3 linked regions of the Lonchura striata genome follow. The protein of the gene in region 3 binds, or shares a complex with, the protein of the main gene of each other region. Links are inferred from orthologs where the notes say so. Each region holds a gene or a part of one and is shown on either strand. Other genes may lie near its edges.

Region 1 (9,157 bases), on a different chromosome or scaffold from region 3:
TCCCGCAGAAGCAAAGAGCGAGCCCCACAGCACCTCAGGGTGATTGCAGGGCTGTGCTCTGGCCGTGGGTGCCCTCTCCCCATCTCCACTCTCCCGTGCCATCCCGGGCTCTCTGTGCCCATGAGCGGTCCCGTGTCGGGCACCCCGTGGCGCTGGGTGCCCGTGGGGCGCTGTCCCTGCAGGGCTCGGGGTGCCCGGCCCGCTCTGGCCCCCGAGGGTGGCGCGGGTGCCCCGGGCAGGGCGCGGTGGGTGCCAGCGGCCGGCGGCAAGGGCGGCGGGAGGAGGAGGAGGAGGAGGAGGAGGAGGAGGAGGAGGAGGAGGAGGAGGAGGAGGAGGTTGGTGCCAGGGCTGCGCGTGTGTTTAGCTTGGTGGCTTCCTGGCTGGCAGGCTGCTGGCGGCGAGGAATAACTGAGTGGGAGAGTGTTGGCTGCGCCGCGGGGAGCCGGGGACAGCGGCACGGCACGGGGCACGGCCCAGGGCGGCTGCAGGCTGCCGTGCCCCTCGCACAGGCAGGGACGGGTGTCGCGGAGCCAGGCGTGAGGCGCCAGGGGCAGCGGGAGGTGTCCCCAGCCGAGCGGGGAGCCGCAGCCGCGGCGCCGCCGTGACGCTCCGCGCCGTGCCCCCGCAGCTCGACCCCGAAAACACCGGCTTCATCGGCGTGGAGACGTTCGCCAGCCTGGTGCACAGCCATGAGCTGCCCCTGGACCCCGCCAAGCTCGACATGCTGGTGGCCCTGGCACAGGGCAACGACGAGGGGCAGGTCTGCTACCAGGAGCTGGTAGACCTGGTCAGTGCCGGGCGGCCGCGGGGGCGGCGCGGGTGCCAGCCCGGGGCGGGCGCCGGGCACCTCCCCGCGCCCCTGGGGAGGGGGGCGGACACCGGCGGTCCCCAGGGTCTCCCCTGGCGCGGGGTGGCTCGTCCGGGCTGTGGCTGGAGGGGGCGGCGGGCCGGGGGCGGCCCCAGGCCGGTCCCGAGCTGCCCCCGCGGTCTCTCCCCGCAGATGAGCAGCAAGCGCTCCAGCAGCTTCAAGCGCGCCATCGCCAACGGGCAGCGGGCGCTGCCCCGCGACGTCCTGCTGGACGAGACCGGCCTCGGCATCTACAAACGCTTCGTCCGCTACGTGGCCTACGAGATCCTGCCCTGCGAGATGGACCGGCGCTGGTACTTCTACCAGCACCGCACCTGCCCGCCCCCCGTCTTCATGGCAGCCGTCACCCTCACCCAGGTACGGCACGGCGGGAGGGTCCCGGGGACCTCGGCAGGGATCAGACCGGGGCGGGCAGCACGGTTGTGAGCTGCTGTGCACGCAGAGCTGACCTGAAGGGATGTGTGACCCTGCAGGTGACAGCTTTGTGCCCACACCTGGGGCGGTGGGGCTGGGGGGCCCCAGTCGTGATGTTCTGGTGCCCACAGAGGGGCTCAGATAGGGGGTGAAGGTTTGGGTGACCCTCGCTGTGATGTCCTGGTGCGTTTGGTGGTGCTGAGACCCGGGACAGAGGTGGATGGGTGACCCCAGTGGTGATGTTCTTGTGCTCATGGGTGGGACCCATGGAGGGGCTCAGATCCAGGGTAGGAGGAACGGGTGACCCCAGCTGTGATGTCCTGGTGCCCTTGGGGGGCTCACATCTGGGGCGAAGGGAGTGAGGACCCTGTCTGTGACCTCCTTGTGCCCACGCGTGGGACTCAGAGCTGGGGCAGGGGGGATGGGTGACCCCAGCTGTGACATCCTGGTGCCCTTGTGGGGCTCAGATGTGGGGTGAAGGGGGGTGACAGCCACGGGGTTTGTCACAGATCATCGTGTTCCTGTGCTACGGGGCCCGGCTGAACAAGTGGGTGCTGCAGACCTACCACCCCGAGTACATGAAGAGCCCCCTGGTCTATCACCCCGGGCACCGGGCGCGCGCCTGGCGCTTCCTCACCTACATGTTCATGCACGTGGGGTAGGTCCCGCTGGGGGGGGACGCTGGGGACATCCCGGGGGCTCTGCAGGCTGAGCCTGTCCCCTCCTGTGCCCGGGCAGGCTGGAGCAGCTGGGGTTCAACGCCCTCCTGCAGCTGATGATCGGGGTGCCCCTGGAGATGGTGCACGGCATCCTGCGCATCAGCTTCCTCTACCTGGCCGGGGTCCTGGCAGGTGGGTGCTCCCCGGGGGGACTGTCCCCATCCCCCCCGTCCCTGTCACCAGCCCGGGGGGGCACGGGGAGGTCACACCGAGTTTGGTGGGGATGCTGGGCTCTGCTGGCTGCCACCCTGCAGTGCCAGCATCACTCGGCCAGGGGCTGGGGGGCAATGCAGGCTGTAATTAATTAATGTAGACAGTAATTAATGAATGCTGTGGGGGCGAGACCCCGTGCTGAGCCCTGTCTGTGCCCCCAGGCTCCCTCACGGTCTCCATCACGGACATGAGGGCCCCCCTGGTCGGGGGCTCGGGGGGGGTCTACGCCCTCTGCTCTGCTCACCTCGCCAACGTCGTCATGGTCAGCCAGGGGACAAGGGGACACAGAAGGGGGGACAGGGGTGGATGACTCTGTAGGGTGGGCAGCACGGTGGGGGATGCCATGGGGTGACAATGGGGACGGGAGCTGTCTGCAGGTTGGGCATGGTGGTGGGACATTATGGAGGGATGCCATGGGGTGGCTGGCACTGTGGGTGGGCAGCATTGGTGGGGGATGCTGTGGGGTGGCATTAGGGGTGGCACTGTCACAGAGGGACCACCTTGGGAGACATGGGGTGGGTGTGGGTGGGAAGGAGCAGGGACCTGAGGGGGCTCCATGGGGCATTCCAGGGGCTCTGGCAGCAGTCCCCACCTCTGTGCTGGAGCATTGCTTGTGCCAGCCCATCATCCGTCCATCCATCCATCCATCCATCCATCATCCATCCATCCATCCATCCATCATCCATCATCCATCCATCCATCATCCATCCATCCATCCCTTGTCCATCCATCCATCCATCCATCATCCATCATCCATCCATCCATCCATCCATCATCCATCCATCCATCCATCCATCTATCATCCATCCATCCATCCCTTGTCCATCCATCCATCCATCATCCATCATCCATCCATCCATCCCTTGTCCATCCATCCATCCATCCATCCATCCATCCATCCATCCATCCTTCATCCATCCATCCCTCCCTCCCTCCCTCCTCGCTGCCGTTCCCGCAGAACTGGGCCGGGATGCGCTGTCCCTACAAGCTGCTGCGGATGGTGCTGGCGCTGGTGTGCAGTGAGTACCGCCCCCGTCCCTGGCCCCGGCCGCGCGGCCCCGGGCGGGCTCAGCAGCTCCGGCCCGTCCCGCAGTGAGCTCCGAGGTCGGCCGCGCCGTCTGGCTCCGCTTCTCGCCGCCGCTGCCGGCCTCGGGGCCGCAGCCCAGCTTCATGGCGCACCTGGCGGGGGCCATCGTGGGCATCAGCATGGGGCTGACCATCCTGCGCAGCTACGAGGAGAGCCTGCAGGACCAGTGCGGCTGGTGGGTGCTGCTGCTGTCCTACGGCACCTTCCTGCTCTTCGCCGTCTTCTGGAACATCTTCGCCTACGACCTGCTGGGGGCACAGATCCCCCCCCCGCCCTAGCCCGCCCCCTCGCCCCGACCCTGCGGTTCGTTTGTTTGCCGAGCCCGGCGGAGGGGCTGGGGGGTCCCCGCGCGTGACATGGGGACAGGCCACCCCGCCGCCCGTCCCCTCGGTGCTAGCGAGCGCGCCGCCCGCCCCGGTGTCCCCGCCGCCCCCGCTGTGCCCGGCCCCAGGGGAAGCTCCGGCCCCGCCCCGGCGCCGCCGCCCCTCGGGAAGGAGCCGGGCCCGGGGACCCCCGCCGGCTCCCGGACCCCCTTTCCAGGACCTGCACTTGCACACGAAGGACTGGTGCCAAAAGAGGAGCCATTTATTTTTCTATGCCAAAATAAATATAAATAAAAGAAAGAGGAATAATAATAATAATAATAATAAAAAAGAATAAAAAGAAGGATACGGGGAGAGCCCGGCAGGAATCGGCTGAGACCGGCACAATCATTTTGGCAGTGCCCTCGGAGGCACAGCCCCCCTCCCCGCGCCCCGGGCCCGCTTTGCTGACCCCCGGCACGGGGGCCTGGCTCGGGATGGGGGCGCGGGGGGTCCCCGCTCTAACCCCCCCCAGACCTTTTTGAAGTATAAATAAATATTTTGCACACTGCGGGGGCTCGTGTCTCTGTCGGGGGCGGGGGTTTGGGGGTGCCCCCATCCCCGATGGGCGGCGGGGCGGGGGCTCAGCCGGGCTCGGGAATTACTGGAGCAGAAAACTCCGGGATCAGTGGAGCGGCGCCGGGCCGGGCCCCGCGGGGCTGGGGCGCGGGGGTGAGGGGGGGTCTGCAGACCACCCCGCTCCCTGCACCCCCCGCTGCAGCGCACACAGCGCTGGCTGCAGGCGCCGGACCCGCCCCACTCACACCCCCAAACCCCCAACCCCCTACTCACACCCACCCCCCATCAGCTCCGTGCCGCCTCCCCCATCCCCCTTTTCATTCACCCCCATCCCCTCCAGCCAGGCCCCTCATCCATCCTGCACTACTCTGTACGCCCCCCTCCCATCAAACCCCATAAACCCATAAACACCATCAACCCCATCAAACCCCATCAAACCCCACAGACCCCACAAACCCCATAAACCCCACAATCCCTATCAAACCCCACAAACCCCATAAACCCATAAACACCATCAACCCCATCAAACCCCATAAACCCCACAAACCCTATCAAACCCCATCAAACCCCATAAACCCCACAAACCGCATAAACCCCATCAAACCCCATCAAACCCCGTAAACCCCACAAACCCCATCAAATCCCATCAAACCCCATCAAACCCCATAAACCCCACAAACCCCATCAAATCCCATCAAACCCCATCAAACCCCATAAACCCCACAAACCCCATCAAACCCCTCAAACCCCACAAACCCCATTAAAGTCCATAAACCCACAAACCACACCCCAATGCCCTCCATCCACCATCCCCTATTCAATCCCATAATCCACACCCAGGCCACGCCCACCCGGCACTGACCACGCCCCCGCCAATCTGTCTTTAGCCCCGCCCACCGCGGGCGCCCCGCCCAATCCGCCGGGCTGGCCACGCCCCTCATATGCATATCCCCGCCCCTTGCCGTTAGCCCCGCCCACCGGGCACCGTCCCGTCCTGCCGAGGCCCCGCCCCGCCCCGCCCCGGAAGCGGCGCTGTCGCAGTGCGCGGCGGAGCCGGAGCCGCCGGGGCTGCCGGGGCTGCCGAGGCCGCCGAGCCAGCGGAGCCGCCGGGGCCGCCGAGCCAGCGGAGCCGCGGCCCCAGCGCCGGCCCGGGCCGCGCCATGAAGGGCAAGGAGGAGCGCGAGGGCGGCGCGGCGGGGCCCGGCGCGGCGGGGCCGGGCGCGGGGGGCGCGGGTGGCGGCAGCCCCGAGAAGAGCCACAGCGCGCAGGAGCACAAGGAGCAGGGGAACCGGCTCTTCGGCGGCCGCAAGTACCCCGAGGCCGCCGCCTGCTACGGCCGCGCCATCGTGAGTCCCGGCGGCGCCCCCGGCCCCAGCGGGACCGGCCCCGCCACGGGAGCTCCGGGGAGGGGACGCCCCGGCCTGGGTACCCCGGGACGGGACACACCAACCTCCCCCCTGGCCTCGATGGCCCCGGGCTGGAACCTCCCCCCTGGCCTGGACACCCGCCCGGAGCTGGCCTGGCCAGCGCTGGGTGGGGTCCCCAGGGATGGGACAGCCCCCACACACCGGGCCGTGACTCCCGCAAGATGGGACATCCATCCTGCCTCCCCCCTGCCTGGACATCTCCCGGGCCCTGGCCTGGGCATCACCAGGATGGAACCTCCTCGGGCTGGGCGCTGTTCTTCCTCAGGGCCTGGCCAAGACACCCCTGACATGGGACCTTTTAATCTGGACACTGTTCCCTCCCTGAGCCTGGCTCCTCCTGGGGAGGGCTGGACACAGCTCTGGGCCTGCTTCCCCCCATTCCTGGGCCTGGACTACCACCCCTAGGCCTGGCCTAGGCACCCCCCGACCCTGGCCCGCTCTCTGGACTTGGACACCCCCAGCCCATCCTCTCCCCACCCCACTCCAAGCTGGCCTGCCCTGCACCCCCTGAGCCTGTTTCCCCAAGCCCCGCACTGTCCCTGGGCTGTGCTGGGTAGGGCAGACCCAGCCTGGGACAGTCGAGGTGTCTGGGGGACAGTCCCCTGTGGGGGCTGGGCCATGGGCTGCCCTATGGGGACCGGCCCCAGCCCGTCCCCAATCCATGCCAGCACCTCCCCACGGGGTGCACACCCTGGCTGGCACTGCTGGCTCTCCCTGCCCAGGGTGACGGCGCCGTGCCGCTGGCTCACCGAGTCACCGGGCTGTCACCAGCACGTCCCGGCCCTGCCGCCGGCACCGACATGGGCCTGTCCCTGCAGAACCGGAACCCCTTGGTGGCCGTGTACTACACCAACCGGGCCCTGTGCTACCTGAAGATGCAGCAGCACGACAAGGCGCTGGCCGACTGCAAGCGGGCGCTGGAGCTGGACGGGCAGTCCGTGAAGGCTCACTTCTTCCTGGGCCAGTGCCAGATGGAGATGGAAAACTACGACGAGGCCATCGCCAACCTGCAGAGAGGTGAGCGGGCACGCTGCCACTGTCCCCTGCTCCTGTCGGCTGGGAAAGGGCCAGGGAGGGCGACAGGGACGCTGGCGCTGGGGTGCCCTTTCTCTCCTCAGCCTACAACCTCGCCAAGGAGCAGCGGCTGAATTTCGGGGATGACATCCCCAGTGCGCTGCGCATCGCCAAGAAGAAGCGCTGGAACAGCATTGAGGAGAAGCGCATCAACCAGGAGAACGAGCTGCACTCCCACCTCACCAAGCTGATCGTGGCCGAGAAGGAGAGGTAACGGGGCACCTGGAGAAGCTTTTTGAGTGCCACCAGGCTGTCACTGCTCTGTGTGAGGTGTCTCTGCAGAGCCCTGCAGCAGGGAAGGGAGTGCCAGTGTTCCCCATCCTCCTGATGTCCCACTCTGTCCTAGGGAGCTGGCGGAGTGCCGAAAGACTCAGCAGGAGGAAAACACAGACGAGAGCCGGAGCCGTGTTCAGCTGGCCAGCATCGAGGCCAAACACGTGAGTGGGGGGCTGGGGGCTTCCCCGTCCCCATCCTCGTCCCCATCCTTGTCCTCAGGCTCTGCTGCACCCAGGGAAGCGGCAGGGCTGCAGCTGTGCAGGTGAAAGCTGGGAGACCTTGGGACCGTAGCCTTCATTCTGTAGCTCGAGCCACCACTGCAGGCCTGTTGTGTCCCCCCATGATGGCTTCCCCTGCTCTGCCACCTCTTGTCCCAGCCTGGCAGCGGTGACACCTGCTGTGCCTGTTGTTCCCTGAGGAAACACAAGTGGCTCTCAGCCACATGTGGGTCTGGGTGCTGGGGACTAATCCCAGATAAAAATAGGCCCACAAAGGAAGGTTATTTGTAAGCTGGATTGCTCCTGCCAGCTTCAGCCAGGAGCTGCACAGGCAGAGGGGGCACCAAGGACCGGCCACAGCACCCATGATGGGAGGCTTTGGGGCTCTCCCTGGGGTCCTGTAGCCCCTGCACACCAGGGACCCCTTGTCCTCAAGAGCTTCTCTTTCAGGACAAATACCTGGCAGACATGGACGAGCTCTTCTCCCAAGTGGACGAGAAGAGGAAGGTGAGTGTGGCCCAGCCTGTGCTCCTGTAAACCTTCTGTGTACCCTGCTCCCCGCTCTGAGCCAGCACCACCTCCCAGCCCCCTTTCCTGACCCAGCTGTGCCTCTCTCGAGACAGAAGCGGGACATCCCTGACTACCTGTGTGGGAAGATCAGTTTTGAGCTGATGAGAGAGCCCTGCATCACGCCCAGCGGGATCACCTACGACAGGAAGGACATTGAGGAGCATCTCCAGGTACTGCAGGGGGCTTTCCCAGGACCTTGCCTGGGTGGGAAGGCATATTTTTGCTGAACTCGGGGCTCCACAGGCTCCTTGGGTTTGGTCCCAGTTACCTGCCCGGGCAGCTCCCTGTGGAGCAGGTGCTGCCAGGCCCTGCCCAAAGCGGAGGCGGCTCTTGGCGGGGGTCTCACACCTTGACCTGCCCTCATCCTGCTGGGAGGCACCTCTGAGGGGCTCTCCCTCTTCCTGCGGGCAGGTGCCCGGGTGCCAGGGCAGATGCCACGCGGCGCTGGCCTCACGCCGCCTGCGCCTCGGGGCTGAGCGCGGGCACGTGGAGTAACCGGTTTCCCCGCGCTCCTCCCCGCAGCGCGTGGGGCATTTCGACCCGGTGACGCGGAGTCCCCTGACCCAGGACCAGCTGATCCCCAACCTCGCCATGAAGGAGGTGATAGACGCGTTTATCTCGGAGAACGGCTGGGTGGAGGATTACTGAGGGGCCGGGGCGGCACCCTGGCACGGCTGGCTCTCCGGGCTGGCACCCTGCCTTACTCGCTCTCCGGCTGTTCCCCCTCTGCCCCGGCTGCCCCGGCCCGGCGCTGGGCGAGGGCACGTCACCACGTCCCCTTCCCGAGGAGCCGCGGCGGCTGGGCGGGCACCACGGCTCCCTGGCTGCCCTCTCCGGCTCCAGGACCTGCCCGGGGGTTGGAATGCTGGCTCCTCGGCAGTGGCCTCGCCATCGTGTCTGTCACCCCCCCAGCCAGGGCAGCAACAGTCCCCAAAGAGCACGTCCCGCTCCAGGGATTGCCACAGGGGGCTTGCCGGGAGGAGCACCTGGAGCCCCATCCTTCCCTGTGTTTAGAGTTGTTTCCTCCTCCTCCTTCCACCTCCTGCCTGGCCAGGGTTGGGTCCTCTTCCCAGTAAACAGCCACTTACTGGGATGCTGATGCACCCTCTGGCTTTTCCTGGTAAACAACTGCCCCAGGGCTGGAAGGGGGCTGCTTCCCCCCTCCCCTTCCCCACTGGGACTGTGGTTCCCCAAGAAAAACCACCTGGGTTAAAGTTCTTCTTCCTTTTAATGAAATCCCTTAAAAACCCCACAAAAAATAACCACCAGATTTGCATCCAATTGAGATTCCAGCATTGTGGTCTGCTGACGGCCTGCCTGGCTTTTGAGCACCCTCTGGAAGTTTGCCAATGTCCATTAAAAGAATATATATATATATATAAAAAGAATAAAGAAAAAAAATCAGCAATA
Region 2 (10,247 bases), on a different chromosome or scaffold from region 3:
AATTTGGGTTTAAGACTTCCCTCCCTCCCTTTTTCCATCCCCTCCCCTTCCATCCTGCATGATTATTAACGAGTTTGGGTTTAATGAGTCAAGGAGGTGTGTGTTGTTTAAGTGTTACAGAATAGGGCTGAGTGCAGCCACCATCTGCAGGAGGAGAGGGGGTAGAAAGGAATGTAACCTACTACCCACACCCCATCTATAGAATTACCTATGGCCCCTGGCAGCTGGAAAAGGGACAAAGCAGCAAAGGGAGGAAGGCTGAGTGCCATGAGCTGCTGTGGTGGAACTGGATGATCACCTCAGCAAGCCTATAAATCTGTTGGAAAGTACAGCAGCACAGGCAGGGATTCCATCTGGGTGGTACAGGAGGAAGTTTTATGTCAGGGACCTCTTTCCCAGGATCTTTGCTGGTGCTGGACCCCCTTGTCCTGTGCCTTCAATGGCCAAAGCTCCCTTTTTCCCCAGACCTTCATCCCCTGCCTTGCTTGCTGCAGGCAATGTGAGGATGAGGGGGCTGAGGCAGAGAGTTGGGTACTGGTATGGCTGCTGGCTTAGTGGGGATGGGTCCATCTTCTGGAAAGACCCTTTCTAGGATACAGAGAGAAGCACTCCTGGTAGGGCTGAGCAAATGCTCCAGGGCTGTGGTTGAGGGATCAAAGACAGGATGCCACTGCCTTCCTTCCTGTGCTAGCCCCAGCAGCAGCCCCTTGGCCACCTTCTGCAGTGAACTCCCTCTCAAAAGGGCTGAAAACCTCATGCTTCTTCCCCAAAGAGTCTCTCCCAATTTGATGCTAAAATGCCCCCTCCTTCTGCTCCCTGGGAAGATCCAAAGGAAGTGAGGGGAACCCAGAGCTCCCCAGCCCCCAGCAGCGTTTCAGGAGCAGCCTCCTGCCCCTTGGCACCCCATAACGCACATATGGAGCTGCAGCAAGGAAGCAGAGAGCCTGAAGATCCAAAACTAGGAAAGGAAAGAAGAGGGGCTTTGTGCAACTGGTGTAAATACCAAACTCACACTGACTGGAGTCCTCGTGGCTGGGAACAGATGATTGGAAGCACCACACCAGGGTTGGCAGCATCCACCCCCTGTGACCCCAGGGGTTGTGTGGGGCTGACAGCAGCTCCTGCACTCGTCCAGCTGATCCCTACATCAAGGACTGCCTCTGCCTGTTCAGTCCGTGGCAGCTAAATGCTCCTGGGGTTTCCCAAGCAGACTTGCATTGGAGTAAACCTCTCTAAAATATTTATTTATTTATTTATTTAATATTATTATTATTATATTTTTAATTGTATGTCAGAATGGACCAGTATTTATTTATTCTAATTTTTTTTTTTCTAACGTTAAGTTATTTTTGGATCTGTTTGTTTGTTCAAATGTATCCATGCCGCCGGTCTCGTGTAAAGGTTTACAGCTCTGGCCCCTCTCAGTGAGGTGGCCGGAGGAGTGACAGTCGCTCCTGCTGCCACCGTGTCCCTCTGCGCTCTCCGGCGCAGGGCGGAGAGCCCGGGACGGCCGAAGGGACGCAGGGCAGAGCTGCGCCTTTCCGTGCTGGAATCTCGCCTTTCTCATTAGATTTGTGCAGGAATGTGATGGGCGTGACCACAGAAACGGGTCTAGGACGTGTCGGGGGTTGCCGGCGAGGGGCAGCTGGCCGGCCGAGCTGGGTGCTGGCAGTGCCACCAGCGAAGTGTCGCCTGCGCCCGCCGGCCGGGCGCCAGCTGGCCCCGCGCTGTTTGCCTTGGCTCGGCCGGCGCTGCTCCGCGCCGCTTCCCTGCGAGGATGCCGTCGCCAGGACTCCCCTGCCGTGTTTATCCCTGCGCGCTGACCCACCCGTGGGAAAACAAAAGAGACTGTGAGAAAGAGATCCCTGCGGAATCCTTGCAAAATCCAGCCTCTGGTGACGGATCTGATCAAGGCTGTGTGTGTATGTGTGTATGTGCACATGTGCATATACATGTGAGTTTCCCTCGGTGTTATTTATTTTTTAACTTATTTAATATTTTTAGTACAAGCTTTAGTACACCCTTCCTGTTAGTGGACAGATGAGGTTTCTGTGGGTTTGTGTGAAGCTGTGAGTTTTTCTGTCTCTGTGCCTTTTGCCAGTGCTTTTTAATTTATTTTTTTCCCTCTCATTCACTGTTTTTACGGATTTTTGCTCTGCATCCAACACCTCAGATTGCTGCAGGTGCTCTCTGCAAAGAGCAGGTTCACCTGGAGGAAAGGCAGCTTGGTCATTTTGGTGTTGAATCGCTGCTGTGGTCACATCATCAGGGTAATATCTTGGCTGTTTTTTGAAAGCCCTGTCTCGCACTCAAAGGCTCTTTCCCACCCATGATTTTGAATCATCCCACAAAGCACCCCTGCTGCCTTTCCCAGCAGAGCACGTCACAGCGCTCACTCCAAATGTCTCCTTGAGCCTGGAGCCATCAGCTCTCCCCATTCACTGGACCTGCCTTGGCTCTGGGTTTGTCCCCCCAAGGGAGGCTTGTCCCACCTCTCCCAACCCCATGCTCCAGAAAATCCAACACCACTTCTGCAGGTTTGCTGGGAAGTAAAGATAAGGGATGTTTCAAAGCACTGTTCTGTTCTGTTCTTCATTGGTTGCAGCACTCAGCTGAGCTTTGCTTTATGTTAACTGCAATTTTCTCAATGTTTTTGTTGTTTTGGGGACTGAATTTGCACCAAACTTGTCTGCAACAGCTAGTCACTGTTATTTTGCTATGCATTGTACATATATCGAACAGGCTGAGAGGACTTGGCCTCTATTTAATATTTATTTCTTCTATTTATTGACCATTACTTTAAAAAAAGCTATTTGGGTCATGCTGTTGGGTCCATGAAGGCAGGAGCCTTTGAAGTGTTGCCAGATATGTTGGACAGAGGAAGGCAAATTTGGCTCATTTGGACCTCACCACCAATATTTAGAGAGGAACCTCATTGTGATGGAGATGGGCAAGGCAGGGGAAAACTCTCCATCTCCTTGAACCAGCTTCTGTTGACAGATCACATCCCCCTGGAAAGGAGTGGGGAATTCAGAGGTGATGGGCCAGTTCTGGTGGAGGAATAACCCTGCTCCTCTTCCTCTGCCACGTGGCATAGGGCTGCCATCACCAAAAATTCCTGGAGTTCTCTGATCTCCTACTGCTGGTCCCCTCTTCCCTCTGGGTAGGGGACACTTGTCACCCTTTGCATCAGTGATGAGGAAGGGAATAGGGTCGAAGTGACTGGCCGTGGTCTCCACCAGGAAGCAAGGATGTCCACCCTGCCCCATCCTGAGACCCTTGTGCCATGCCCTGCTTTGCCCCCTCCCCAGGCTTTGTGCCAGTAGCTTTTCTCTGATGTGAGCTCATTAGCTAACACAAACAGAGCTTTCTGCAGGCATCCTCCCCCAGCCTTGAGAAGAGCATGAGATGTGCTAAAAATCCCACCCTGCCCCAGCGTCGCTCCACCACGGCCACAGCCACTGCTCTGCCCACCTCGGGGGAGGTGTTTGTGCTCCCGGGGCAGAGCTGCCTGTGCTGGGGGACTGTGGACACAGCTCCAGCATCAGCAGGCGAGTGCCAGCGCTGGGCTGTTCCCACAGAGCTGGCCCAGAGCTGCTGGGTGCTCAGCCTCGGGCTCTTGGGGTATTGGTTTGAGAAAGGGGCAGGTTCAGGTGCCCTTCAGTGTGCAGTGGGGTTTTATTACCTCTTCACCACAGAATAAATAATTCTCATGACTTCGCTGCTACCTGGCAGTTTGCACATGACTGGGAGGGTCTCCAAAGCAACAGTGTCATGGTGAAGCACCCCAGCTTTTGGGCTATTGCCTAGAGAATAACACCCTCAGCAGCCCAGGGCAGCTCTCCACCTTTGAAACCCAGGGAGTGAGCAGGAGACGTAGAACAAAAGCCAAGACATGAGAAAAGCCGTGAGGGAAACGGTGTCTCTGTTCTCTGCCTGTTGGTTGATTCCACCCCCAACGACACCGGCACATCTGTTTGTTTGAGTTCATTGTAAAGCTCCCCTTGCTCTCCATCCACATGTGTTCTGTATCCTTTAGTCTTCCTGGGTGTTTGAGTTGTTAGCCTGGTTAGAAAAAGGTTCCAATAAAGGTTCGGACAGTATTTCCTTTGCATCATGTTCCTTTTGGATACAAGCGTGTGCGGTGGGATATTTTGGGTTGTTTCAGCTGCTCTGCAGAGAAGGGCATGTGCCTCCACTCCCAGCTGCTGAGGACTGGCTCCTCAGGGCACTGGCTGAAGCAAAAAAAGTTGTGGGCTAGTATTTCTGGCAGCTCTCCTTTCCCTGCTGGGCCAGGCTCCTGCTGCCCTTTGCCAGGCCCTTTGGATTCCCCCACCCTGTTCAGGCACTGGGAGTCCAAGCCAGAAATGCGTCCATCCCTCCCTGGAGGTCACACGGGCTCACCAGTGCTCTCCTCGGGGCTGTGCCCTTCCCTTCCTGTGCTGCTCCAAGCCCTGCACAGAGTTCCCATGCCACAGGGCCCTGCCATTGTCACCTTCTCACCTCACCAGGGCAGTGGGGACTCTCCAGCACCCTGGAAGCCCCGCAGAAGAGCAGCAGCCCTGGGCCATGTCCCCATGGTCCCCTGGGGGGCTCAGATGGGCACCCAGGAAAGGTCTGGGCATGGCACAGGTGGATCGTGGGGACACGGGGCAGCATCCCCAGGTCACTCGGAGGAGAAGGGGGGCTGCAAGGGCACTTCATGTTTCCCAGAGCTGATGTCGTGGGGTGGCTCGGTGGTGGGAGGCAGCCGGGAGGATTGGAATGACAACAGGAGCTAAATTGGGATGGCCCAGAGAGGGTGAGAGCAGGCGGGAGGAGGGGACGTGTGACTAATGGGGATGAACAAGGCGACAGAAAGAATTCCTGGCCGGGGAGGGAGGATGGCCTGGAGCTATGTGGGAAACGTGGGATGGGGGATGTTATGAGGCTCCTGGAAACACGGCAGGATCGTGGCACTGCCTGAAACCTCCTCGGGGCTTGTCCCTCTCACCCCGTGCGCTGCTGTTTGCCCAAGGGGGTGGCAGAGCTGGGTGGTGGGGCAGGACCACCTGCTCCTCAGCCAAGCTGAGACTTGTCCAGCTGAGCTCAGGCTGTGTGTGGCAGTGACCCCCAGGACTGTCGCTGTACTGTCACCCACGGGCACCAGGAGCCCCCAGCCAGGCAGAGGCAGCCGGGTAGGACAAGGGAACGGAGGGGGATGCTCAGTCCCTCTGCCAGCAGCTGCCTCCCCACACCAGGAGTACTTAGCTGGCACCTGGAACTTCCTCGGGCACTTCTCGGGCACCTCCAGGCATCCCTTCAGACCCCAGGAGACCCCTGTGATGCCCAGGTGTCTCCGTGCATGAGGGGCAGCCCTGCCCTAGCCAAGGGGAGGCAGCTCCCCGTGCCCAGCGATGCTGCCGCGATTAACGCCGTGGAGTGACCAGCGGCTGCATCCCTGTGCTGCATTAAACCCTTCCTGCTGCAATTACTTCCACAGAGTCCATTAGAAAAATTGCAGATGCTGGAGAGAAGGAGCATGATGCAGAGCCAGGATGCGGCATGAGGAAGTGGCTCCGTGGCCAACGTCACCCTCACTGATGACATCCCATCGTCCAGCACAGCCCGCTGCCCACCGGAGCCGTGCGTGGATCGCCTCCATGGGGACCCCCATCCCCGCCAGCCGTGCCCCCGCCTGTGGCCGGGCTCGGGGCCGTGTGTCCCGGGCGATGCTCGCTGGGAGCTGCCCCTGCGGTGCTGCTGCCGCGCCCCTTCCCACAGCTCGCAGCCCGCTCCGCCGCTGCCCTGTAATTACCGGCCCGGCCGCGGCTGTGATTAACGCCTCGCCCTGCCCGCACCGCGATTGCGGCAGGGCCGGGCCGTGCGGTGGGGCCAGGAGGAGGAGGAGGAGGAGGCAGGGGCTGAGCAGCGCCCTGAGCCCCTGTGCTGCCTGCTGCCGGGGGTCCCTCTCCTCCCTGCAGTTTAGGGGATGTTCCTCCGGGCCCAGCTGGTGGAGGTGTCCAAAGACGCAGTGCTGGAGGGGCTCATTTGTCCCCAGCCCCACACAGCCCCCCCGGGTCCCAGGGCGCTGGGGGTGCCCCCAGTGACCCATTTCCCGGCACGGCGGTGCTCGGTGGCGTGGGGACACGTGCCTTTACAGTGAGGGGAGCAGCCTGCTCACCCCACCACGGTATTTTTAACAGGTGACACCGCGCTGAAAGCAGCCGGCCCCGAGTGAGCTTGGGGGCTATTTTGGGCGGGCAGAGCAGCAGGAGGGGGCGGCAGGGGCCGGGGCAGCTGCCGAAGCGCCACGGCCCCGTGGCAGCCGGGATCCTCGGGCCAGCAGGAGAGGTCAGCTGCCACTGCCCAAATTCTCCACGGCTGTTTCATCCTCTCCAAAATACTCGGCTGACAGGGCAGGACTTGCAAAACACACACCCCCCTCCTCCGAAATCCATATAAATAGTACTCGCCCAACGGCTGGAAGGTTAGAGAAGTTTCTGGGCTCCAGGCTCAGGCATTTATTGCAGTTCTCACCCAGGAGCAGCAGGGAAAGTTGCACATAAAGTGCTGGAGAGTGAGAAGTGAGAGAGAAGCTTTTTAATCTCAGGATATTTGGGTTTATTATTTTTTTTTTCTCTCTCTCTCCTGACAAGAAGTTTTATTTTCCTCTCCCCAGTCCTGGGATCGCAGCCAGACAGGAAGCGTTTTCTAGCGGCCAGAGAGCTCCCTCCGTCCTTCCTGCGCTGCTCCAGCTCCCGGTGATTCAGCCTGAATTGATTTTCTCATCGTCCTTCACCTGGTGCCGGGCAGGAGGGACCGTCCCGGGGTGGATGCGTCTCCTCCGGGACAGGCTCCCGGGGGAAGTTTGCAGCCAGGAGCAGCCGCACAGAGGCTGAGGCTCCGTTGGAGAGCCCCGGGGACACGCTCAGACCCCTCCGAAGGAAGCCATGGCCGATAGCCAGATGCCCTTCTCCTGCCATTATCCCGGCAGGCGCAGCCTCCGCGACCCTTTCCGGGAGCCCGGCCTGACCTCGCGTCTGCTGGACGATGACTTCGGCTTGTCGCCCTTCCCCGGGGATCTGACGGCGGACTGGCCCGACTGGGCTCGGCCCCGGCTCACCACCACCTGGCCGGGCCCCCTGCGCGCCGGGCTCGGCCGCTCGCCGCCCATGGCCCCCGCCTACGGCGCCCACTTCGGGGGGTACCCCGAGAGCCGCAGCCCCGCGCCCTTCCCCCGCGAGCCCTGGAAGGTGTGTGTCAACGTGCACAGCTTCAAACCCGAGGAGCTGACGGTCAAAACCAAGGATGGCTACGTCGAGGTGTCAGGTGAGAGCCGAGGCACCGCGGAGGTGGCACTGCCAGCTCAAGGAATTGCTGCAAAATGCCAAAATCGCCTTTGTTTTAAGGCGGCGGCGGAACCCCCCGCTTCTGCAGCAGGGCTTTGGGGCATCTCCGGGGCAGTTTGGGTGTCACGGGGGGGAATCTGGCTCACAAGCCATGGTGGTTTGCTGCCAAAATGAGAAGGACGTGTGTCCTTTGGGGTAAATCTCCCTGCTTTCTGCCCTGGCTGGCAGCACCCTGCAGCGAGCTGCCAAGAGGGGCCCCAGCTCTGCTCGGTTAATTATAGCCAGGGTGAGGTCGGCACGGAGGGAGATTCCCTTTAAAGGGGCCGAGGGAGAAGCTGGGAAGAAAGGAGCAGCTGCTCACTGCCCCCAGCCCAGCTCGGCTCTGAGTCAGCCAGAAACACATCCCTGAAAAGTGAATTAATGTCGGGAGCAGTGGGTGTGGGGTCCAGCATTTTTGGGGTGCTCACGACTGCCCTCAGTGTCCCATCAGCCTGGCACTCCCCATTGTGCCTTGGTCCTCTGGGCTGGGATCACCGGGGGGGCTGGGGGCTGCCACCTAACGCAGCCCTGAGTATTTATTTGGAGCTCACTGCAGCACAGGGGGAAAGCTACAGGCTGGGGGGGGTCCAGGCAGCCTCTGGCTGATGCTCCAGGTACAGGGACCCCCAGCCTGACAGAGGGGGAGAAAGGAACCCATCCTGGGGAGTGAGGTCAAGGGGGATGCTGCCACCTACAATAGTTTCATTATTTGCTTATTTTCTTAAGCCCCAGCTCTTGGCAGCCTGTGAGATCCTGGTTTTCCACTGGAATTGTGGCTGTGCTGTGTCTAGCATCTCTTCACATGGAGAGGCTTCCTGAGCCCTCCCCAGAGAAATAATTTGCACCAGGACAGAGAAACAGCTGCTTGGAGATCTTTTCTCTTTGGTTTAGTTGTTATTGTTTGTTGGGGGAGAAAATAATCTGGTAAGGTCCTGATGTGGGGTGTTGGCCTTCCCTGCAGGCAAGCACGAGGAGCAGCAGGTGGAAGGAGGGATCGTCTCCAAGAACTTCACCAAGAAAATCCAGTAGGTACCGGTCGGCCTGGCCGAGCTCTGCCAGTCCCCGCACCCCAGCTCACACGCATAGATTTTCCACCCCAAAATCTGCCCTTCTGCTGCACGTGCCCGGCCGGGCCGAGCTATAGGGCGATTTCCCAAGGGAAGGAAAGGAGGAGGAGGCCTTTTCTGAGGCGCTCTGTCAGTCTCCCGCACGGCCGGGGCTGCGGCCGGGGGCGCGGGGAGGAGGCGTCCCCGGGAGCGGCGGGCGGGCTGCACCGCCAGCCCCGGAGCGCATCCCTGCGCTCCCCGCATCCCCGTGATGTCAGCGAGATCGCTATCGCCTTGACTCACCCGCGGCTCCCTTTGGCAACAACAACCGCAAAGGCGAGCCCCGACCGATGTGGGGGGCAGATCCCACCCGCGGGGCTCGCACGGTTAACAGGGAAAAGCATCAAAGCCCAGGGCATGGGAAGGGTTTCCTCAGCTGGCAGCAGCTCAGCTTTGCTTTTCCACCCTGAAGGAGCCCTGTGCATCCCGAACTCCCACGGGAAGGCTGGGGCGAGCACCGCTCGCTCCCGCTCGGGCTCCTTTTACGGGCAAGGCTGGCGGCTGACGCGGGCTGTGCGCGGCCGGGATTTACTCCCGCTCCGCGGGCACAAGCGGCGCTGACATCCCGTCAAACACATCTGCCGGCGAGATTAAACAGAGCTCCCGCGGCGGCCAGGCCGGCCAGCAGCCCACTCTAAATATCCCCGCACATTCCCAGGCGCTCCAGTAATAACAGAGGCTTTGCCTGGGTCCCCGCCCGCTGGGGGTCCGGGGGTCGGGATGAACCGGGGGTGCAGCATCCTAACCCATCGCCTCTTTCCTGCCCCCCTGCAGGCTGCCCTACGAGGTGGATCCCATCACGGTGTTCGCCTCCTTGTCCCCGGAGGGGCTGCTGATCATCGAGGCGCCCCAGATCCCTCCCTACCAGCAGTACGGCGAGGGCAGCAGCGGCAGCGAGATCCCCGTCGAGAGCCAGGAGGCCACCTGCACCTGAGCTGCCACCCCCGGCACCCCCGTCCCTTGTCCCCTTCCCCGCTCCCGGTCCCCTGCGGCGCGGCGTCCTGACAGCCTCGGGCAAGGGTGACGGGTGCCGCTCGCAGGGATGGCAGCACCCGCCACCCCAGCTGAGAGCCGGGCTCACACCGGGTGCCAGCCACCGTCCCCGAGGGCTTCTAGTGGCCTGAGGTGCCGGTAGAGATTTTGTGCCCACGGGGCCAAGCAGAAAGGATGCTCCTCCTTATGGTTATTGTTTGTTCCGAGTCGCTCGGATGGGATATTTATAACAATAGCAAAAAAAAGGGCCTGTTTTTTTTCTTTAAAATTGACATGGAAACCCGTAGCTCTGCGTCTTTCCTCCTCCACGAGTTTTGTTGTTTTTTTTTTAAACTACATCTCTGCAAAGGACACGCGTCCGGCGGCGGAGCTTGATGGCGTGGCCTCCATCCTGAGAAACGGTCTGCGTGCTTTGAACGTTGGTTTGGGGTTTTGGTGTTGGTGGTTTTTTTTTTTTTTTTCCTTATTTCCAAAGAGAATTTGTGCTTTTACTTGTCAGACCTGAGGAATAAAACCCAGTTGATGTTCTTAGCCTCTGCTCGTCTCGGCTGAGCCGGTGGGGTGGGCACAGGGCTATGGGAGGGTGGTGGGGTCGAGGGGAATGCCACCATGTGCCACCTCCCGGCTTGGCACAGGTCATCCCTGTGAAGGCAAGGATAAGGGAGATGCATGGGATGCCTGCACTGATGGGGGAATTCCAAGTCCCAGCTAACACTGTGCTGGGGAGGCATCAGGCCTGGCAAGGACCATGGGCTCATCCTGGCCTTAGCCCCTCAGA
Region 3 (9,725 bases):
AGGTTATTGTGCCAGTGAAGATTTGTCCTGACTTCGTGGCTGCTTCAAATTTCAGCAGAGGCACAGGGATATTCCCCATTAAAGGAATGTGTGGGTTCTGTGCCACCACAGGGTTTAAGTTTTCAGATTTTAGTTTTAGTTTTTGGTTTTTCTGACTGGTTTGCAGCATTGAGTGGATGAGTAAATGCCTCCATGGATAAGACAGCTGATGCTCTGAGGAGTAACACTGTCCAGAAACCCTCCTCACCTCTGCCCATCCTGCTGATCCAGCTGTCCTGTGTGATGGATTCCCTAGGTAGGCAAACAGTAATTATGGCACTGCAGCTGTGGGATATCTTTGGAGGGGGCCTGGGGTGAGAGCTCAGCAGCAAACAGCTCCAGGAGAAAGGAGGGGAGGCATTAAAGCTCCTTCCAAGCCTTGTCACTGCTCTTATCAGCGAGCCAGCCTTGAGCAGCCAACCACACTCTGAAGAAGTGGAGGGGTTGCATTCCTGGCACGGACCCGAAGAGCTCTTTGTATGGCTAGGAAATGCAGGCACTTCCAGAGCTGAATTCCCAGGCAGATGCTGCTCCAAGGAGAGCCAGAAGGAGCAGAGAATAAAGGACATGCATTTGTTTCTTTCTTTTCAGTCTGTTGCCTCCTTTGAGACTCCACTGTGCCAGGGAGAGAGCCAGAGATGCTATCAGCTCTGCATCTGCTTCTTCAATTCAAGGGAATAAAAATATTTGGAAGGGATGGTTAGGGACAGAGCACCAATATAATTAAATCAGCTGCAGTACCCACAGAAACTGGAGAAATACTTCTGCCTTTACATGTGCAACATTCTGCTCATAAAAGGATCGATTTGCTCATCAAAGAGGGTTTTTAAACTCCCTTTTCAGTTGTTTTTTCCAAACTCTGTACTGTTTCTGCTATTGGGCACCCTCAGGTCTGGAAATGATACTGTTTTGGACCAAGATTTGCCAGTAAACTTTGGAAAAATGACTCAGATGTTCCCAAGCACATTTGGACCGTGGCAGCCCGGAGTACAGCAGGGCAGATTATCCACTAGGTGGGAGCCTCTCAATTCTAATGGGTGCTGGCCACCGTGGCAATTAAAGCACCGGCTCAGACCGACTCTCCTTCATCCTCCTGATGTCCAAGGAAGACAAAGTTCTGTTCCCTGGTTAGACCCAGACACTCCTAAACCAAAGAGCTGCCTCCTTAGGCTTCTATCTGACAGACACTGGAAGAACAGAGAATGAGCAGCCCAATAATGCCTATTTTGGAAACATTAATTCACTTGGCATGTGCCATATCATGACATATTAAGAGAATGAGTAGCTCTAAACATTCAAGTTGTCTTATGCTGCCTATGCTTGGAATTGAATTTTGCTTTTGTTGCATACAGGTCACAGAAATTAAAGCTGGTTTTGCAGTGTTCACAGCCAGATTTGCTCCCTGGTTTATGACAAATTCATTCCAGGTGGAAATAAAGAGGGAAAAGAAAGTAAAAATTGTGCTGGGATTAGCTCCTGCAGTATTTTTCAAAAAATCTGAAAATTTGAAATCAGAGTACGTGCTTTGGGAATGCAGAGCTTTAGTGTAGTTGCAGTGTGATTCCAACACGTACATTTAAAAAGCTTTTCTCCATTTAAACAGTACAATTAGCACTCTAATTTCTTATTTATACTTTGAATTTTCTATTAAAGTTCATAGGAAATATATTTATCTATCAAATGACTTGCCAGTTACTGTGACTCCAACAAGCAGATGGCATGATCAAGCTCTAAGAGCCAAGCAATGTCAGCACCATGCAGCAGTCAGAGTGAGATCAGACCATTTGTGGATGGCTTCATTCACCTACTTCTGTTCTCCACTTCACCACCAGTTACACTAAATTGTGTACCAAATACTAGAGATCAAATCTGAAGTGGTCTGTAGCAGAAGTGGCAGATTAGTAAAAGATTAGCAATCACTTTGCATCTTTAATTTTCTCAAAGGCAGGCCCCAATTGTTTCAGTGGCCCAACAAACAGTTCCATGATTGCGAACAAACCATGAAGCCAAACATCTGTACAGCTCTGGTTACATCAAGTCATAAGTGGGACCTGTTTGCTTGTAGCTTAAAAAGTTCATGCACCTGGAGCTATTCATACACCTGGATATTCAAAATATAATCAGTGAAGACCTGGGCTACTCAGTGATACTCTGCATAAAACATCAAGAGATGGAAATCATGCAGGTCAAATTCATCATGTCTCTTGAATCTGAGGATTGAGAAAGTCTGTGCTTGTTGCATTTATTAGGAGTGTTTATATGACTCAAATGCACCCAGCAGAGGACTTGGACTGGAGCCTGCTTCACAGCACAGCGCTCGACACGTGCCAGGCACGTCACTCACCCAGGTTCATCAATGCCAGCTCTCTGCAATGCTCACCCAGAACAAACACCTGAACTCCCAGTGCTGCTTAACAGAGCCTTTCCTGCTCAGGTGACCTGTGAAAGTGCTGCAGGTACTCAGGAGGTAGAAAGCTGATCTGGATCTCACTGCAAGAAGTGTTGTTTCCTGACACACCAGAGAGATCTGCTTGATTAATGCAGTGAATAACAATTCTATTGCAACAGTGCTGCCCTGTACAACCTGAGCTAGAGCTGCTGTGCAGCTGGGAGGGAGCTCTGCAGCCCGTGTTCAAGTCAGAGAAACGTGGGTGACCCTGTAGAGTAAACCCACTCTGGGTAACTACAAGTACATGGTTTCTAGTTGTAGTGGAAGGCCCTGGAGCAAATGTTTAGTTTGGTACTCCTGGGTGTGTGAAGCGCTGTGCAGATAGGAACCTGGATAAGTCAGGAGTGCTGTGTTTGCACTTACATGAAGAACACAAAAAGTAGAAAATGCCTCTTGAGCATTTTCCCTTCTGAAATAGAGCACAAAGACCTTGAGCCTGGAGTCTCATCTGAGATTAGCCAGACACTACAGAGACTCACTTATCTTAATAACAGATTTTCCTGAAGCCAAGATTTTTGCTTGGCAGTATTTCCTACATGGACATTTTCATAAATCATTCTGATCTGAAGGATGGCTAATGACAACATGAACTAGAAGCCACATTGCCTCAGGGTCACAGCTATGGCCCAGTGACACCCCATCACCAGAGAGCAAACAGTGAGTCCCTGTGTAGATATCCTGTGTAACCTGCCTCACTGGCAGTGCTTTCACCTGCACAGGAAACCAGGCTAAATCCTACCTGTCAGGAAAGACAATTTCATTAACAGAAAAAGTGTGATGTCTTGCCAACTAAATTCAATCACTAAAAGGCTTTTCCCTGTCAGCCCAGACTGTTCTGTTTCCAGCTGGATGCTTGTCGACCCTGCAGCAGCTCGAATGAATTTTGAATCACTAGCCCATGATAATTTCTGTGAAATTATCATGGGCTAGTTTCTTTGTTTCTTCGTAGGGTATGCCCCCACAAAAATGTCCAACTTAAGTTAGATATCCCTTTGAAATTTCCTTTAATTAATTTTTCATCTACTTGCTGACCGTATTCATTAGCTCTGCTGAGTATATGGTTGGCTGCCAGCTGCAGCAAAATAAAAGACCCCCCCCATTCTTCGTGCCTTTGTTTACATTCCCTCAGCTACAAACCCCATCTGTATCACTTCCTCAACTTACAAAAGTAATTTTCCTGCAGGACCTTTTTAACATCTGTGTCCCCTGTGTCTGAATCAGCTGCTTTTGTTGATTTGGAAGAGACTCTGGCATATGCTACAGGGAACATATGGTCTAAGTGTGCCTTTTTGTTGCAAAACCGGGAGTGAAATTCCTCTGCACATTGGAAGCAGAATAAATCGCTGATATTACTCCATTTGAGGCTACTGCTGACATTGCTGAGGCTGAGCAGAGGTTTTATACCAGACAGCATAAGAGGCAGCAGAGGTAGAAAACATGGCCAGGGACAGGCACCAGTTCAGGACTTTGAGATCAGCAAAGTTTGGGCTTTGTTGCTTAGAAAATAGGTAAGTCAGGAAAGGTGATGGCAATACAGACATCTGCAAGTAAATGCTCCGGGAAAAAAATTATCCATTTATAATACTTAGGAGTCAAAGGCACACAACAGTGGGGACAGAAAAATGGGTCTGTGATGGAGCAGTGCGGTCCTGACAGCAAGGGACACGCAGGATGGAAGAGCTGCAGGAGTGAAGGAGCAAGTGTCAGCAACTACTTGGTTTGTCAGTGTGATAAACAAAACCTCCTGTCAAAAAATGAATGACCATCAGTGGCAAGCAGTATCAGGAGATCTTTGATCCTGCCTTGAGCAGAAGGAGATCCTGGCTGTGCTCAGGGGCGTGAAGAGCCAGGGGTCTTCTTGAAGTAAGAGATACTTCAGTAATAAGCATCTGCCTCCAAGGGATCCATACTTAGAATTCCTCGAAGCAAAGTTTTGCAGAAGGTAACTTCTGCGTTTGAGGGACACTGTGCATTCACTCTTCTACTTAGAGTGACTATCAACAGGCATCTGCGGCTGCTCCTGTGACTGTCAGATGACTGAAGTGGTGCAGTTGAGAAGCACAGTTACCTCCAACCAAACCCACTGAGTGCATGACCTGCTGATAGAGCACCCATCAGAGAGCCAGTTTTAAACCTCACAGACACACTCTTTGCCTTCAGGTGTATTTCTACGGGAAACTGAGAACTGAGACACGCATTTGCAAAGTGCTGAGAAAGTTCAAGCCAGTTGAATCCGAAGAACAACGCTTGCCCACACCCTCACTTAAGAAGCATTATTTTTGTTGTTTATCTGCCATAACCCCGAATTATCAGTCACGGGGCAGGGCGTTTTGGGGAGGAGCGTTGATCTTTCGCTCAGAGCACGGGGCAGTAGGTCGGAGCTGCCTTGCCAGAGCGCCGGCGGGCTGCGGGCTGCCCAAGGACGGCTCGGGGCGCGGCAGGGACCGGCCGGAGCGGGAGCGCAGCCGGGCTGGGCGCTCACCGCGCGGCGCCGGCGGCGAGCAGAGCCGGCCACGCCGCCCCGGGGCGTTCCCAGCCAGCCCTCCCCGCTGCCCCGGGGGGCTGCCGAGCCGCGCTGGACACAGCCAGAAGTTTCCAGCCGGCGGCTCCTCCGCCGTCCCCCGCCCTCCTCCTCCTCCTCCGCGTCCCGCCCCTCGTCCCGCCCCCGCCGCCGTTTCCAGACAGTTCCAGCCCCGCGCCCCCGCCCCCCGGCCCGCGGCGGATAAAGCGGCCGGCGCGGCCCGCGCTCTGCCCCGCCATGAGCGCCGCCGCGCAGAGCCCGCCGCCGCCGCAGATGGAGGGCAGCGCCGAGCCGCTGCCCCCCGGCTGGGAGATCAAGATCGACCCGCAGACCGGCTGGCCCTTCTTCGTGGATCACAACAGCCGCACCACGACCTGGAGCGACCCGCGCCTGCGGGCGGCGCCGCAGGTGGGGCGGGCGGGGGTGGCCGGGCCGGGGTCCCGCGGGGCGAGGGGGGTCGGGGCCGTGCGGGGAGGGCGGGAGCTGCCTTTTGGCTCTGACGCACTGCAGTCCCTTTTTTGTGCATTCAATCATTCGATACCTCGGCCCTGTAATGTTTATTTAAAGTTGGTTAAGTCCGCCCGGCCTCCCGGGGAGAGGCGAAGCTGATTTATTTTTCAGCTGTGAACTGCCCGAACGCTGGATGCCTTTAAAAAAAATGAGAGATCCGGCTCGGGCTCCAACTTATTTTTTCTTTTCCCGTTTTCTTTTCCCTGGTCCCAAACTGCCGGCAGCTGCCGCTCCGGTTTTGTTCCGAAGCACGCTCGGGGAAAAGCCGCATCTCAGTCCAAATATGTCCATGGAAGGAGAGGCGCGGAGGGGAGAGCGGCCGGGGCCCTGCGGAGTGACCCTTTCGGGTCAGGTTCCGCGGCTTTTGGGGAATACAGCCCGTTCCTTGGCGGAATACAGCCCTCGGCCCAACAGCGCGGCGGCTGGGGGCAGAAAGCGCTGGAAACTTGAGCCTGGTGGGATTTGCCTGGTGGGAAAGCGATTCCCCGGGGTCTCGGCGCTCTTCTCCGCGCGGAGCATCGCGTAACCGCGGGCTGACCGCTCCGCCGCGCTGCCGGCCGGGGGCTCGGGCACGTCCCGGGCGCGGAGCTCCGCGGGGCTGCACCGGAGCCCCGGGGGGAGCCCCGGGGTCGGGCTCTGTGTCCCCGCAGCAGCGGGGAAGGGGCCGCTGGATGCGGCATGCGGCTGCTCCGGATCTCTGTTGAGTTTTTCTCCCCTACAACGAGAGGAGCGACGCGCTCAAGGAGTGTTAATTATTTTATGAACTTGCCGTTTCTTAAAATAGTAATTGCCCGGTTCGCGAGCGCGGGCCGTGACTGAAAGCTCGGTGCGAGAGCAGCTGGCCTCGGCAAGGAAGGGATGTGTTTCTCTATCACAAATTAACCCCCTTTGCAGCTCTCTAAGTGCTAGTTCGTTTGGTCTATAAATAAATTATAGTAATAATACACAAAGGTCTTAGAAAAATGGAATTTGAAAGTAAGAATATTGAGAGTAGCATAGGAAAAAGTGCTTTCTCTCCTTTATGGAGGCACCTGCTAACACTCGCTGTTGTGGTAGTAAAAATAAAGATGGTGTGGTTTTTATAGCCATAGAACGTACTTGAAAAGAAAAGTGTGCTGTTTCCTGAAAGGGTTTTGTTCCAGGAATACCACTTGAGACTAACCTATTTAACAGAATAGTCAAATTCAAGCTGCTTTCAATAATGGTGTGAAGAGAGTTGGAAGCTGTCTGGTGGATCAGCCCTCTGCTTGAGTGGGTGCCTGAAACAAAACAAATTTTCACCCCTATCTCGTGTGAAATCTGTGGTGATGAGAAGTGCCTCTTCTATGGCAAGGGCTGTCACAGGTAGAAAAAGCTGTATTTGCTTTTGAACAGCTTTTGTGGGACACACTCTTTTCCAAACAGGAAAATCTGTTACTCCTGGCTGCAAGCTGGAACGTGTGCTTTGGGTTTGTTCACTGTGAGACAGGGAAATGCCTCCAGAGATGAGCTGTTGTTTTTTGGGAGTTCCTAGCTAAAAAAAGTCTTCCAGTTTATGGTGGTAGAAGTTGTGTGTAACTGCTCTCACATGGGCATTTATCAGAGCCTCGAGTTAAATGTGTCTGCTGGAATTCATGGACAGCTGCTGAAATCATCAGTTTGTTGAGTACCAGTGTATTCCACAAGGACAGGTACTAGTTAGCAAAAGAATCTTAGAATCAGGCCCAAGGGAAATACGTCCTTTTCTAAATATTCTCTTAGCTGGGCAATGGCAATGAAAGCAAATTACCCATTGACATTGACTTCCAAATCCAACAAGGATTTTTGAAGATGCCAGACTTCTGTTAATACCTAAACAGATAGGAAGGACATAACCACAGATGAAAGCAAAAACCAGATTTGATGGGTAGAGCTTTCTGATTTCCTTCATTATTCTCAGCCTAGCTCAAATGAGAACTTGGGGTTTCTAGAAGTGATCTGAGAATGACAAAAGCTGACTGCATGTGTCAGACTTCATGCACCTTTTCAAGAATGATTATACGAAGGTCAAACTTGTGCTGACTTCATCACTGCATTGCTTTCACTGAAATATGACAGTGAAACTAGAAAATTTTTGACCACCTTTGAGGTGGTCTTGCAGTAAATCCACCAATATTCTGTCTGTGAATTTTTGTTCCCTTTCAGAAAAGATTAGGCAATGAAATGTGGTATTGCACACTAAGTGGACAATGACTGGAGCACAGATCTAGGGCTAACTGAGCTTTTCTATCTAGGTAAGAATATGGCTGAGACAGTGTCATAACAAAGTCCTGTTGTTCCCGAGTGCTTGATCTTGGCCTTCTCACTTACCCTGGGCTTAACATCAGTGTAGCCATGCTGGCTGCAGTAATCTGTGCCAGATACATAATCGGGTAAAAGTTGAAGTGGCTCCTTTGAAATTGTAACCCATGTCAAAGCCTTTTTAAAGCAACGAAACCAGACCTTGATTTTGCATTTAACTCTGTATTTTAGGTGCATTTGTGAATTCAGATGGCTCTCGGTTATTTCCCACTCAGTCTGGCCTTTTTTTTTTTTTTGTTTTTTACTGACGTGAAGGATGGGTATTCTTCTGCATGTTTGTTTCTGTTACATATAAGAAATCATGGCAGCATAAGGATGGCTTGGGGAGCCCTTCATGAGAAAGAGGGAAAAATCTCATGTTGTTTCAGTGAGAAATAAGGGATGAATTTTCAAATGACAGAAAAATATTTATTCATGAAGCTTCTTGGTAGACTAATGATTTTCTTTTAAGGATCTGATCAGTTAACAGTAATTTAAGGAAAGGTATAATCAATACTGTGAAGATGTATATACATCTAGTAAAAAATGTGTTTATTAGCAGTGTCACTTGTCCTTTTATTTGATAGAATTGCTCATTTCCTATGCTTATTTGTTGTAGTTCTGTGCTGAGGGCATCACAGCTCTGCATACTTCCTGCAGGATTGCCTTATGACACTAAATTGTTAACTTGGTGTTCCCCAAAGTGTCAATAAAAATAGATTACATTTAAAGAAGAAAACAAGGTTTGTATAGGTATTTATCAATGCCCCTTCTATGTGTTGTTTCCACATGCAGTAAACCCCCTGGGAAATAATGCAGCTAAAAATAAACCAAAGGAATTGACTGTGCTGAGCTCCACTGGTGGATATTGGAGCGATCAATAGCTCACTGGTGCCTTGGGTTTGAGATAAAAGCTGCAGCAGCTGGGCACAAGTCGGGGAGCAGCCATAAAAGTGATCTATGATAAGTTTTGGCTGCAGCAATGACTGCACAGGCTAAACAAAGGAAGAAGAAGCCATCTCACCCTGCTGCTGATGCTTCACTGGGGAACAGCTGACTACACCTAAGTTTCCATCCTCTCCCTTCATGGCTGTTGCATCTCTTTTTCTCTCTGCTTCCCCAAATAAGTCTGAAGTCACTCAATTCACAGCTCTTTAGCAGAAGGCTTATTTTTGAGCACTGACTTCTGGTGGTCAAGTTGAGTGAAAAATCCGTGGTAGACCAAATTAGAAATTGCATTGAGGGGTCAGAACAGCCTCTCTGAAGCTGTACCTCTCACAGTGGTTCTCCTCAAGGGAAGGGAGTGTGAGGTCAGCTTAGTAACAGTTAAGGTCTCTTCCACCTGCAGTGTTTTTACATTCCTAATGCTGATGTGCATTCTGTCAGGCTAACAAGTTAGTTACTGGATTAAAAAGGTACTATATAGAAAAGGCTTAGTAGGTAGGAGTGGTACAATTACCAGTGGGGATATTTGGAGGGTTGTGTCCTGGCTTTGCCCAGATTCCCTGAAGCTGCTGGGTGTGGTTATTTAAAGCCCCCCCTGACAGAACATGGTGAGCAGGGAGTTAACTTATGGATGTATCAATTAACCTGAAAACATGGGGTGGGGCTAATCGGAAATAAGAGACAGGAGCAGGAGGAAATGACACTGGATATAATGCAAGAGGAAAAGCAGAGAAGGTGTTCCAGGGTTCTGTGTAACTCCTACACAGAGGCACCTGTGCCCCTTATCTAAAGGACAAAGGAAGAAAGAATACTTGTGCCAGGTGGTAGCATTCTTACCTGGGAGCTGGGTTTTTAACACTTGTATGCACAGGCAGAACTTTTCCACGACTACAACGTGGCAGAAACAGAATTGTTCCCACTTGAACTATGATAAGGCCAGGTAACAATCCATTGTACCTTAGG

The links.
Region 1: BAG3 (region 3) and STUB1 share a complex: the UniProt entries of both Homo sapiens proteins name them as parts of the chaperone-assisted selective autophagy (CASA) complex. The link is inferred for Lonchura striata from reciprocal best matches to the Homo sapiens genes BAG3 and STUB1.
Region 2: BAG3 (region 3) and HSPB8 share a complex: the UniProt entries of both Homo sapiens proteins name them as parts of the chaperone-assisted selective autophagy (CASA) complex. The link is inferred for Lonchura striata from reciprocal best matches to the Homo sapiens genes BAG3 and HSPB8.

What each region holds. Positions count from the first base shown.
Region 1 is NC_134618.1:3,127,922-3,137,078, reverse strand, and holds the start of STUB1 (E3 ubiquitin-protein ligase CHIP), read left to right. Parts: upstream 1-5,276; 5' UTR 5,277-5,342; coding exon 5,343-5,528; intron 5,529-6,427; coding exon 6,428-6,626; intron 6,627-6,727; coding exon 6,728-6,893; intron 6,894-7,029; coding exon 7,030-7,120; intron 7,121-7,627; coding exon 7,628-7,684; intron 7,685-7,800; coding exon 7,801-7,917; intron 7,918-8,269; coding exon 8,270-8,395; 3' UTR 8,396-8,757; coding exon of another isoform or gene 8,758-9,157. Other genes in the region: RHBDL1 (rhomboid-related protein 1), read left to right, coding at 629-787, 1,001-1,225, 1,792-1,940, 2,021-2,133, 2,376-2,476, 3,173-3,233, 3,308-3,579; JMJD8 (jmjC domain-containing protein 8), read right to left, coding at 8,758-9,157. UniProt on the Homo sapiens protein: E3 ubiquitin-protein ligase which targets misfolded chaperone substrates towards proteasomal degradation.
Region 2 is NC_134620.1:5,261,190-5,271,436, reverse strand, and holds HSPB8 (heat shock protein beta-8), read left to right. Parts: upstream 1-6,434; 5' UTR 6,435-6,566; exon of another isoform or gene 6,567-6,661; 5' UTR 6,662-6,932; coding exon 6,933-7,311; intron 7,312-8,331; coding exon 8,332-8,395; intron 8,396-9,250; coding exon 9,251-9,410; 3' UTR 9,411-10,000; downstream 10,001-10,247. UniProt on the Homo sapiens protein: Involved in the chaperone-assisted selective autophagy (CASA), a crucial process for protein quality control, particularly in mechanical strained cells and tissues such as muscle. Displays temperature-dependent chaperone activity.
Region 3 is NC_134609.1:27,402,613-27,412,337, forward strand, and holds the start of BAG3 (BAG family molecular chaperone regulator 3), read left to right. Parts: upstream 1-5,211; 5' UTR 5,212-5,246; coding exon 5,247-5,417; intron 5,418-9,725. UniProt on the Homo sapiens protein: Co-chaperone and adapter protein that connects different classes of molecular chaperones including heat shock proteins 70 (HSP70s), e.g. HSPA1A/HSP70 or HSPA8/HSC70, and small heat shock proteins (sHSPs), e.g. HSPB8.